Linked DNA regions of Mus musculus. The protein of the gene in region 3 interacts with the protein of the main gene of each other region in a pairwise test. Links are inferred from orthologs where the notes say so. Each region holds a gene or a part of one and is shown on either strand. Other genes may lie near its edges. The genes, in order: Nol3, Ccdc57 and Sirpa.

What was found.
Region 1: the proteins of Sirpa (region 3) and Nol3 interact in a two-hybrid assay, tested with the Homo sapiens proteins (2 studies listed by BioGRID and IntAct). The two-hybrid records come from large-scale screens. The link is inferred for Mus musculus from reciprocal best matches to the Homo sapiens genes SIRPA and NOL3.
Region 2: the proteins of Sirpa (region 3) and Ccdc57 interact in a two-hybrid assay, tested with the Homo sapiens proteins (2 studies listed by BioGRID). The two-hybrid records come from large-scale screens. The link is inferred for Mus musculus from reciprocal best matches to the Homo sapiens genes SIRPA and CCDC57.

The regions. Positions count from the first base shown.
Region 1 is NC_000074.6:105,279,359-105,282,504, forward strand, and holds the end of Nol3 (nucleolar protein 3), read left to right. Parts: intron 1-57; coding exon 58-417; intron 418-536; coding exon 537-544; 3' UTR 545-2,581; downstream 2,582-3,146. Other genes in the region: 4931428F04Rik (uncharacterized protein KIAA0895-like), read right to left, coding at 2,622-2,786.
Region 2 is NC_000077.6:120,919,285-120,922,937, reverse strand, and holds part of Ccdc57 (coiled-coil domain-containing protein 57), read left to right. Parts: intron 1-1,003; 5' UTR 1,004-1,011; coding exon 1,012-1,418; intron 1,419-3,356; coding exon 3,357-3,465; intron 3,466-3,653. UniProt on the Homo sapiens protein: Pleiotropic regulator of centriole duplication, mitosis, and ciliogenesis. Critical interface between centrosome and microtubule-mediated cellular processes. Centriole duplication protein required for recruitment of CEP63, CEP152, and PLK4 to the centrosome.
Region 3 is NC_000068.7:129,613,275-129,616,927, reverse strand, and holds part of Sirpa (tyrosine-protein phosphatase non-receptor type substrate 1 isoform 1 precursor), read right to left. Parts: intron 1,482-3,653; coding exon 1,164-1,481; intron 706-1,163; coding exon 370-705; intron 1-369. UniProt on the Homo sapiens protein: Immunoglobulin-like cell surface receptor for CD47. Acts as docking protein and induces translocation of PTPN6, PTPN11 and other binding partners from the cytosol to the plasma membrane.

The DNA.
Region 1 (3,146 bases), on a different chromosome or scaffold from region 3:
TTGGAGGTAACCACAGAGGGGTGAACTGAACCTCAAGTACTCCCTCTTCCTTCCCAGGCTACCGGAACCGCAGCTATGACCCTTCATGCCCAGGCCACTGGACGCCAGAAGCACCCAGTTCAGGGACCACATGTCCTGAGCTGCCAAGAGCGTCAGAGCAAGAGGAGGTCGGAGGTCCTGAGGGCTCTGAGGCACTGCAGCCTCGAACTCCAGAGGAGCCAGAACTAGAAGCTGAAGCTACTGAAGGGGATGAGCCAGACCTGGAACAAGAAATGAATCCAGAACAAGAGCCGGAGCCGGAGCCCGAGCCAGAACCCGAACCCGAGCCCGAGCCGGAACCCGAGCCCGAGCCAGAACCCGAGCCCGAGCCGGAACCCGAACCCGAGCCCGACTTCCAAGAAGAGGATGAATCTGAAGGTTGTGAGAGCGCCTAAACCCTTGCTTGCAGGCTTGTTACGGGTTGTGGACTGCAAAGTGTGTGTGTGTGGGGGGGGGGGGTTGATCCCTATTCCACTAACCATCATTTTCATCTCCAGATTCCTGAAGGCCAGAATCCTTAGCTGTCCAATCCTATTTGTGCTGGATAAGACCTGGAAACCTGCCAGAGCTTGACCCCATCGATGCACCGAGACACCTACTGCCAAATGAATAAACTCAGGAGGGTCAGTCTGTTCCTGACTCTCCACAAGTCTGGCTCTTTGCTCAAGAACTGAGGGTGAGCGTGGGTCTGAATCCCACTGACCTGAGCAGGCTTGTGTGAAAATACCCCCATCCCCTCAAAAACATTCCACTTCCCAAAGAGCCCAAGCTGTAATTCTGGAGATCTCAGATGCAGGCCCCCAAATCTGACCCTCCCTCACCCACTTTATTCCCCTCAGGGGCCATTTGGGAGGCCGAGTGGGCAACACTTCTAATCCATGGAAATCACTCGGCTTGGTGTACCAAGCAAGTGAAGGGGGATGTCCATCCACACATGGAGAGAAGTCTTGGCGCTCACAGTCTTGCAGGGAGGACCTGAGAGGAAACTTGAGTAGACAGAAGCCACACACATCATTGTAACTGCTGTTTAATTGTCTGGCTTTCCTCTGAACTGGGAGCTCAGTGAGGGGCGTGGGGTCTAACCAGTCACAGACATACACAAGGAGCTCTGCACATATCTACTAAGTAAATGAATACAAACTTCCCAGCTGTGTTTCCAAGCTTCACAGATGGAAACATTAACTGAAAAGCCAGGGTTAGGACAGTACTAGCTCACTCTCCCACCGCTGAATCTGAAGTGAAATGAAAGCCTTAACCAGCTCTGTACTAATCCTGGCCTGAACGTGGGATAACAAACCCTAGGGCCTGCCCTGTAGGTTTGATTGTGGTTGCTCCCGCCTGTCCTAACCACTGCCAGAGACCAGCTGTGAGGCTGTGGTTAAAGACAGGCACAACCAAGACTAACATGGGGACTGAGGGTGGGACCAGGTGCTGGACTCACAAGACACAAGACACAGTGTGTCTGTGTGAGTGATAAGAAAGGGGGTCTAGGGGGCTGGAGAGATGGCTCAGTGGTTAAGAGCACTGACTGCTTTCCCAGAGGTCCTGAGTTCTACTCCCAGCAACCACATGGCGGCTCACAACCATCTGTAATGGAATCTGATGCCCTCTTCTAGTGTGTCTGAAGACAGCTACAGTGTACTCGTATACATAAAATAAATAAGTCTTTGAAAGAAAAGAAGGAAGGAAGGAAGGAAGGAAGGAAGGAAGGAAGGAAGAGAGAGAGAGAGAGGGAGAGGGAGGGAGGGAGGAAGGAAGGAAGGAAGGAAGGAAGGAAGGAAGGAAGGAAGAGGGAGAGAGGGAGGAAGGAAGGAAGGAAGAGGGAGAGAGGGAGAGGGAAGGAAGGAAGGAAGGAAGGAAGGAAGGAAGGAAGGAAGGAAAGAAGGAAGGAAGGAAGGAAGGAAGGAAGGGGTCTAGGAACATACGGTACTTTTCCAAAGGATCCTGCCCCTACATGGAACTACTACTACTACTACTACTACTACTACTACTACTACTACTACTACTTCCGGGCCCCGCCTGGAGGCATGAAATGACCCCATGAGGGCGACTATGGAACAATGCATGACCAGTGAGACAGACAGAATGCTGAAAGGCAAAGCCCAGCCCAGCTGGGTCTCTGAGCCTGAGTGACAGCCGGAACCCCATGCTCAGGCAAATCACCTCAGAGGGGTTCCCAACTCCTGCTGGCCCCAGTGAGAGGTAGAGGTATGAGTGTAGAAGGAGCACCAATCGGCCAGGTAGGGGGAAGGGAAGGAGTGGTACCAGACACCCAAAGCCATCTCATGCAGGAACAAGTTTCTATTCCCAAACCAACCCACATTTCTATTCACACTCAGCTCCCATCTCATCGCCCTCCCATCTCCCCTGCTCAGGAGTTTATGTGACATGCTGCTGCAGTTCACAGGCCCCAGGAAGGGTAGCAAGGACAAAAACCTTCTAACGTTGCTTCTCATCTGCCCACGATGCTCCTGGCCTCCCAAATGCCCCCAAGAAACACCTAGGCTATGGAACCATAAAGAACTTCATATTCCGATCTGTGACCTCTGTCAAGAGCGTCTGTCTATAACCCTTAGTCAACATCAGTCAGGCAGCAGGCGGCCCAGCTCCGCTTCATCCAGCCGGTTGGTGGTCATGATGTGTTCCAGCTGCTGCCGGTAACGTTCCAAGTCCTTCATGAAGTGGGGCACTCTGGTATTGTCTAGCACCCCGTAGGGCCGCAGTTGTTCCACGTCTTCATAGGAGACCTATAGGAAGCAAACTGAGCCTCAGAGCTAATCAAAGTGCCTGGCTTTCAAGTCCAGGATCTACCCATGGCTCAGGGCCATTTGCTCCTGAGATGATTGTGTATATTCTTCATCGACTCCTACAATAGATACCTTCAGGCTCTGCCCTGGATCTTCTATCTTTCTCTCTCTATCTTTTATCTACGTTGTACAACCCATTCCTCTCCAGCCCACCTTATCTCCTCACCTCTAAATGGTATCCAACTGATACCTGGGTCTCTCTCTCGGGTTATCTCCCACATCCAACAGGAGACTGTTGAATGTCAGCTGTCTGTCCTCCCCTCTGCATAGTCACCACAATCAGGTCCAAGAAAGGCCGAC
Region 2 (3,653 bases), on a different chromosome or scaffold from region 3:
GCCTGGCAGAGGCTGTTGGAAGACAGTCAGAGAGGAGCTCTGGTGCCTCCCCTGCGCACACTTGGCTCCTGTGCCTCGGTGATGGTGCTCAGCATTATTAACCTTATGTCCTTCCTTGTGAGCAGCCATGGGCTCACTCTATAAATAAAGCCAGGAGCCCCAAGTGAAATGGCTCTGTGTACAGAAAAGAGCCCCTTTTATGGTGAGGACTGGCAGCCAGGCTTCCCTAGAACCAGTAACAGTCTGTAGTGTGCCTTGATAAGAAACAGTCTCTTCCAGTGTGCTTGCGGCCACTGCAGTTCCTGGAGGCCCACTCTTCACTCCTCCAAGTTGCTTTTAAAGACTTATTTTCTATTTGGCAAAGTAGTTTTATAATGTTGGATCTAATTTTTTAAAAATTAAGACTTTAGCCAGACATAGTGGTACATATCTATTACTGTAGCTATTCAGGAGGCTAAAATAGAGGACTGAGTTCAAGGATATCCTGGGCAACTTAGTAAGACTCCATCTCAAGAACCTCTGCACTTGTATAGTGTATCTTGTTTTTAAAATTTATTTGTATAACTGAACAGTGGTGGTTCTTGCCTTTAATCCCAGCATGTGGGAGGCAGAGTCAGGTAGATCTCTGTTAGTTCAAGAGTGAATTCCAGGACAGCCAAGCTAGACAGAGAAGCCCTGCCTCAAAAAACAAAAATACACACACACACACACACACACACACACACATACACACATACATACACGTACACATGCACACAAACACACACACATACACACATACATACATACACACATACACACATACACATACATACACACACACATACATACACACATACATGTACACATGCACACAAACACACACACATACACATATACACATATATACATACACATACATATATATATATACATACACACTCATGTGCATACACACATGCACACGCATGCTCACAAGTCAAAGTCTCTAATGGTATGCTACTTGTGTCCTTCTTTGCTGCAGCCATCACCATGCTGCCGCTATGTTCAGAGCGGGAACTGAATGAGCTTTTGGCTCGAAAGGAGGAGGAATGGCGAGTCCTCCAGGCCCACCGTGCGCAGCTGCAGGAGGCAGCTCTACAGGCTGCTCAGAACCGCCTGGAGGAGACACAGGGGAAGCTGCAACGCCTACAGGAGGACTTTGTTTACAACCTTCAGGTGCTGGAAGAGCGGGACCGGGAGCTGGAGCGCTATGATGTTGAGTTCACCCAGGCCCGCCAGCGGGAGGAGGCCCAACAAGCAGAGGCCAGTGAGCTCAAGATAGAGGTGGCCAAGCTGAAACAAGACCTCACCAGGGAGGCCAGGCGAGTGGGGGAGCTGCAGCATCAGCATCAGCTAATGCTGCAGGAGCATCGCTTGGAGTTGGAGCGCGTCCACAGGTGCGTTACCCTTACAGGTCATTGTGTCTGGTGCCCAGTGAGTGATGTGCATGCGTCGGTGGCTGCTCAGCGCCACTGGATGCTCAGTGGTACTGATGAGTTTTTCCGTAGGTCTCAGTCCAAGATTTTTTGTTTTTGCTGTTTTGTTTTTTACATAAGATCTCACTGGCTGCCCTGGAACTTACTTTGTAGACCAGGCTGACCACAAATTCAGAGATACACCTGTTTCTTCCTCCTGAAATGCTGGGACTAAAGGCACCACTATCCCAGCATGACAGATGTTATCTGCTGGCATTCTTACCTTTGGAGTTTGATGGAAGCTACTGGTCTGCTAAGTTTTAGCAATCATTCCGTGAGTTTCACCTAACATACAGAGATGTTGTGTCAGACATGGAGGTCTTTTTTTTTTTTTTTGGTTTTTGGTTTTTGTTTTTTGTTTTTTTTCGAGACAGGGTTTCTCTGTATAGTCCTGGCTGTCCTGGAACTCACTCTGTAGACCAGGCTGGGCCTCAAACTCAGAAATCAGCCTGCCTCTGCCTCCTGAGTGCTGGGATTAAAGGCGTGCGCCACCACACCCAGTCGTGGAGGTCTTTAGTAAATGTTCTGCAGCACCTGTGACCCAGTCGGGAAGTGCTGCTCAGCCACCGTCTGGAGCATCCTCAGCACAGACTCATGTAGCTCGCACTTGGAAGCTGAAGCTGCTTTATGTGATTTTGTGACTCTTTCCTTTTTCTCCAAATCTGAGACCTTCCGGTCACTCGGACGCTTTGTCAGTCGCCACTTGTAACTACCCCAAATCCTCAGGGCTCCATTTGTTTGTTTGAAACAGAGTTTTTCTGTGTAGCCCAGGCTGTCCTGGAATTCACTCTGTAGACCAGACTGGCCTCAGACTTAGAAATCTGCTGGGGCTGAAGGTGTGCGCCACCAATGCCCGGCCCCATTCCTTTATCTTTTATTTTTAGTTCATTTTTTCTCCATTCAGTCATGTGATATCTAATGTCTGTATCAAGTTCACCAATTCCCTCCTTTGCCATATTCAGTATGACATCATACTCAGGATGTGAGACTTTTATTTAGGTTATTGTAGTTTTTAAATCTTTTTTATTGTTGTTGTTTTGAGATAGAGTCTCACTACGTAGACCTGGCTGGCCTTGAACTCACAGAGATCTGCCTGCCTCTGCTTCTCTGCCTCTCTACCTCTCTGCCTCTTTGCCACTCTGCCTCTGGCTCCCAAGTGCTGGGATTCTGATTAAAGGGGTAGTGACGTGGTACTATTTGTACTTTAGTTATCAAGTTTTTATTTGATTTGTTGTTGTATCTCTTCTTTGCTGAGATTCCCTGTGTTTCCCTTGGGTTTTCTAAATATTGGCATCTTTCAGTTATTAACCCCTCCATTTCATAATTATATAGTCCTGACTGGCCTGGAATTCACTATGTACAGTAGGTTGGCTTTGAACACAGAGATCAGCCTGTTTGCCTCCTAAGTGCTGGGATTAAAGGTGTGTACCACCATGCCTGGCCCTTCTCTTGATTCTTTTTTTTTTTTTTTCTGGTTTTTTGAGACAGGGTTTCTCCGTGTAGCTCTGGCTGTCCTGGAACTTACTCTGTAGACCAGGCTGGCCCCGAACTCAGAAATCTACCTGCCTCTGCTTCCCAAGTGCTGGGATTAAAGGCGTGCGCCACCACACCCGGCTTCTTTCTCTTGATTCTTGTTTGTCAACACAATTCTATGTTCTGTTTTCTCCTGTGCTGTTGGCAGCTTTGTTTAGGGGTGGCAGGCAGGTTCAGGTCAGGCAGAAGTCCTACTTCTTAGAGGCCCGATGCATGCACCCCTGCAAATGCCATGTCCCAGCTCCATGGGTGAGGTGCTCCCGCTGTGTGTACAGGCAGTGAGCATTCAGTAGATGGCTCTCTCAACACCCTGTCTGCTTACCACAGTGACAAGAACAGCGAACTGGCCCACCAGCGGGAACAGAATGAGCGCCTGGAGTGGGAACTGGAGCGAAAACTGAAGGAACTCGATGGTGAACTTGCTCTGCAGAGACAGGTAGAACATCGCTGGGGTTGGTTCTTTGGGGCACTCCTTGCCAACTGGTTTGAAATCTACATGGTGAGAGGTTCACTGAGTGCTCTCCCAGGAGGAGTGGATCCTTGGGCTGATCTATGTGTAGGGCTTGGTTGAATGCTGTGAGAGGTGTCCAGATCTCCCAATGTATTCTTTCTCATGCACCAATC
Region 3 (3,653 bases):
GGCCAGAAAGAGTGAGAGTAGGGGAGGGGCCATGGGGATAGAACAACTGTTAGGAGGAAAAAGCAGGAGGCAGGAGGCAAGCAAAGACAGACTCCGTCTCCCTTTCCTCCTCTCTGATACACTGTGTCATCAGACCTATCCAGACAGGAGCCAAACTCTTACCAGTGCTGAATCTAGGAGCACAAATGCTGGAGAAGCAGTTCCCATTTTAAAACTGTGTTTATGCTTATAAACTTCTAGACTTCTCTATAATAAGCATGATATAATAACTTTAACATTGAAAAACAGATAAAATCATGATAAAGATTCAAAAAAAAAAAAAAAAAGGAAAAAGAAAAAAAGACCAATCAGCGGGAGTGGAGGCCTCACCAGGGAAGGTTTGCATGCTCCCTTGATCACTCGAGTGGGCAAATCCCAGCACGGTATGGTTTCGGGTGATCGCTGGCTGTTGGTCGTGCTTCACCTGGCACGTGAACACCACGTCCTCTCTATGAGCAGATGAGTTCACCAGGAACAAGCTTGTGTAATTATAGGTCCCATCCGTGTTCTTTGTGAGATTCTTGGGCGTGTCATTCCGTGATACGTTTCCATTCTCCAGCCAGATCAGCTGGAGATCCTCGGGGTAGAACCTCTCAGCCCGGCAGGTGAGGTTCACCTGGTTCATTGACGTCGGGGACTGTTGGGTGACCTTCACGGTGGGTGAAACTGAAACAGTACAGGCAAAAGCTCTAACCTTAAGCTGCACTGTGATCCCAGGGAGGGGCTGCAGAGCTGAGCCTCTCCCACCATCACAGCAAACAAACAAGACTACTAGGCATGCATTGCGTACTCAGGCAGTGTGGGTCTCATACAAATGGAATCACTAAGCACAGCACCCAGAACACAAACGGTGCCTTGTCTGGGAACTGGTAGCATTAAGCACAGTACCCAGAATACAAACGGTGCCTTGTCTGGGAACTGGTAGCTACTGGTATGGTGATAATGAATGATGTCAATGCATGCAGTACCTAAAACAAAATAAATGAAAACTACCAGGCAAAGGGGGCGTGGCTCACACTGGGTACCCAGGAATTATAGTTGCCATTGAAATGCAACTACCAGCATGGTGCTAGTCATAGGGTAATGGCTGCTGTGAACTTGGGCTAGAAGTCAAGGACATCTACCTCGGATGAAGTTAGACAGGTTAGCAATCCCACGAAGAGGGCTTCTATCCAAGGTGATGTGGGCTACCTCGCAGATGACCTTAGAATTAACATCCATGGAGTTTAGTACCACCCTGACTGTGCTGGAGATGTTGTAGGAGACATTCTTTCCACTAGGGTTCACGGTGGTCTCCAAGGGGTGGAGTTCTTGCCCATCTTTGAACCACTTCAGGGTGATATTCCGGGGAGAGAAGCCATGAGACTTGCAGGTGAAGTTCACTTTCTGGTCAGGTATGCCCCTGTCTGCTGGGCCGGATACCTCCGGTGGAGAAGGTTTGGCTAAAGGAGCATTTATAGACAAGAAATATGATTGTGATGGCCAAGCAAATGAACTGGTGGTGTAAGTCGTCTGCCTAGATACTGTCATCACACTGGAACATGGGGGATTGGCCCCAGGGCTTTATGCACACTCAGTGCATATTCTACTACTAAACCGTATGGCGTCTCTAGACTGGTGACACTATTCATTAATCTCCCTCCTGATGAAGCTGGAATGACCATGTCCTTAGCCTTCTATCTGGGGAGGATGCAGAGGTTTCATGAAATGGAGGGGTCAGTCAGGCAGTAAGGCAAGGCCAGGAACTCCAGGCCCGAGGTCTAAATCTTCTCTGCTTCAGGGATTTCCAAGATTGCTGACCTATCTCATTCTTTAACTACTTTTAACTGCATTCCTGGAAACTCTGCCAACTTAGAGAAAAGTGTTTGCAGAAGTAAACACAGGAAACAAATAACACTGTAGGATCCCAGTGGCTGCTCTGAGATGTTTACACTGCCCAGAGCCACGCATATGAAATGGGAGGCAAGGTTTCTGCTCTCTGGACGCGGTGAGGAAGAGATGAGGCCCTGGAGGCTTCCTGCTTCAGATGACTGACAGACACACAGAGATGCTCCTCAACAAGACACACAGATCTGACCTTGACCTGGATATTTATTTAAAAAAATTTTTAATGTGTCTGTGTATATGAGTGAGTTCCTTAAGAGAGCAGAGAGGACACTGGATCCCCTGGAGCTGTGGTCGCAGGCGGTTGTGAGTCACCCAGCCGCGTGGGTGCTGGGAATTGAACTAAGATCCTTGGTAAGCGCAGTACAAGCTCCTCAATCAGTGAGCCTCTCTCCAGCCCTACACTTTATTCTTACATCCTCCCTGTAAGAACTTGGGAATTCACTACGTGGGTTTTCCTCTTCTCTCTCTACAACCTAGTAGGCTTTTCCCAGGCCAAGTCCCATATTTGAAAGAGAGAGGCTAAAGGGAATTTTTGCTTTCAATCTGGAGAGCTTTTGTTTATAGAGTTGGAAACAAAGATCACTTCTATGTTAAGAAAGCCAAAGGTGGCTCTTGATTTCTAATTAGTAAAGAGACAGCAGCGAGCAGCCCCACCAAGCAAGCAGACACGCTTCTTCTGGTCCTGAATGGACTCATGGGTGACTAGGAGGGAGGCAGTGTCCCTTGGGGATTAATCCAAACTGCTCATAAGCAACCAGCATCACTTCCAGACAGCAAACACAACACGTTTCCATCTGCCAACACATACTTGCTCCCTAATATCCGCCTAATATGTCGAGGGCACAGAAAGGAGGTGTCACTTGAAGAAGTCAAGTCATCAGGACACCAGCAGCAGTGAAGAGCCATCCGTCAGGCCCTGGGGACTCCCTGTGCTTAAATCTAACCCAACTGCAAATGTAAAATATTGTTGAAAAAGCTGCATCTGTACTGAATAGTAACAGACTTTTTCTTGTCACTATTCCCTAAACAACACATAGAACAACTATTTACATAGCATTTGCATCGTATTAAGTATTATAAGAAACCCAGAGATGATTTAAAATAGATGGCAGGATGTGTGTAGGTTACACGCAAATCTCCCCCATCCTGGATGAGGGCCTTAAGCATCTTTGGATTTGGGTATCCTACAGATACCAGGAAAAAGCTGAAGTCACCATCTATTGAGTTCTTAGAGCCTGGCACTGGCTGCTCTCTCTGTGCCCATGATGGGGTAGTTAGGGTGAACTCCTTCTGTAGGACAAGGCTCAGAGGAGAGTGGGACTAGCCAAAAGCATAGTGGGTGGGTTTCAACTCTTCCACTGAGATAACTAATTTAGTACTTAAAAAATATTTATCTTCTGGGGCCTGGAGAGATGGCCCAGTGGTTAAGAACACTGACCATTTGTCTTAGTCAGGGTTTCTATTCCTGCACAAACCTCAGGACCAAGAAACAAGTTGGGGAAGAAAGGGTTTATTCGGCTTACATTTCCATACTGCTGTTGATCACCAAAGGATGCAGGACTGGAACTCAAGCAGGTCAGAAAGCAGGAGCTGATGCAGAGGCCATGGAGGGATGTTCTTTACTGGCTTGCTCAGCCTGCTCTCTTATAGAACCCAAGACAACCAGCCCAGAGATGGTCCCACCCACAAGGGGCCTTTCCTCTTGATCACTAATTGAGAAAATGCCT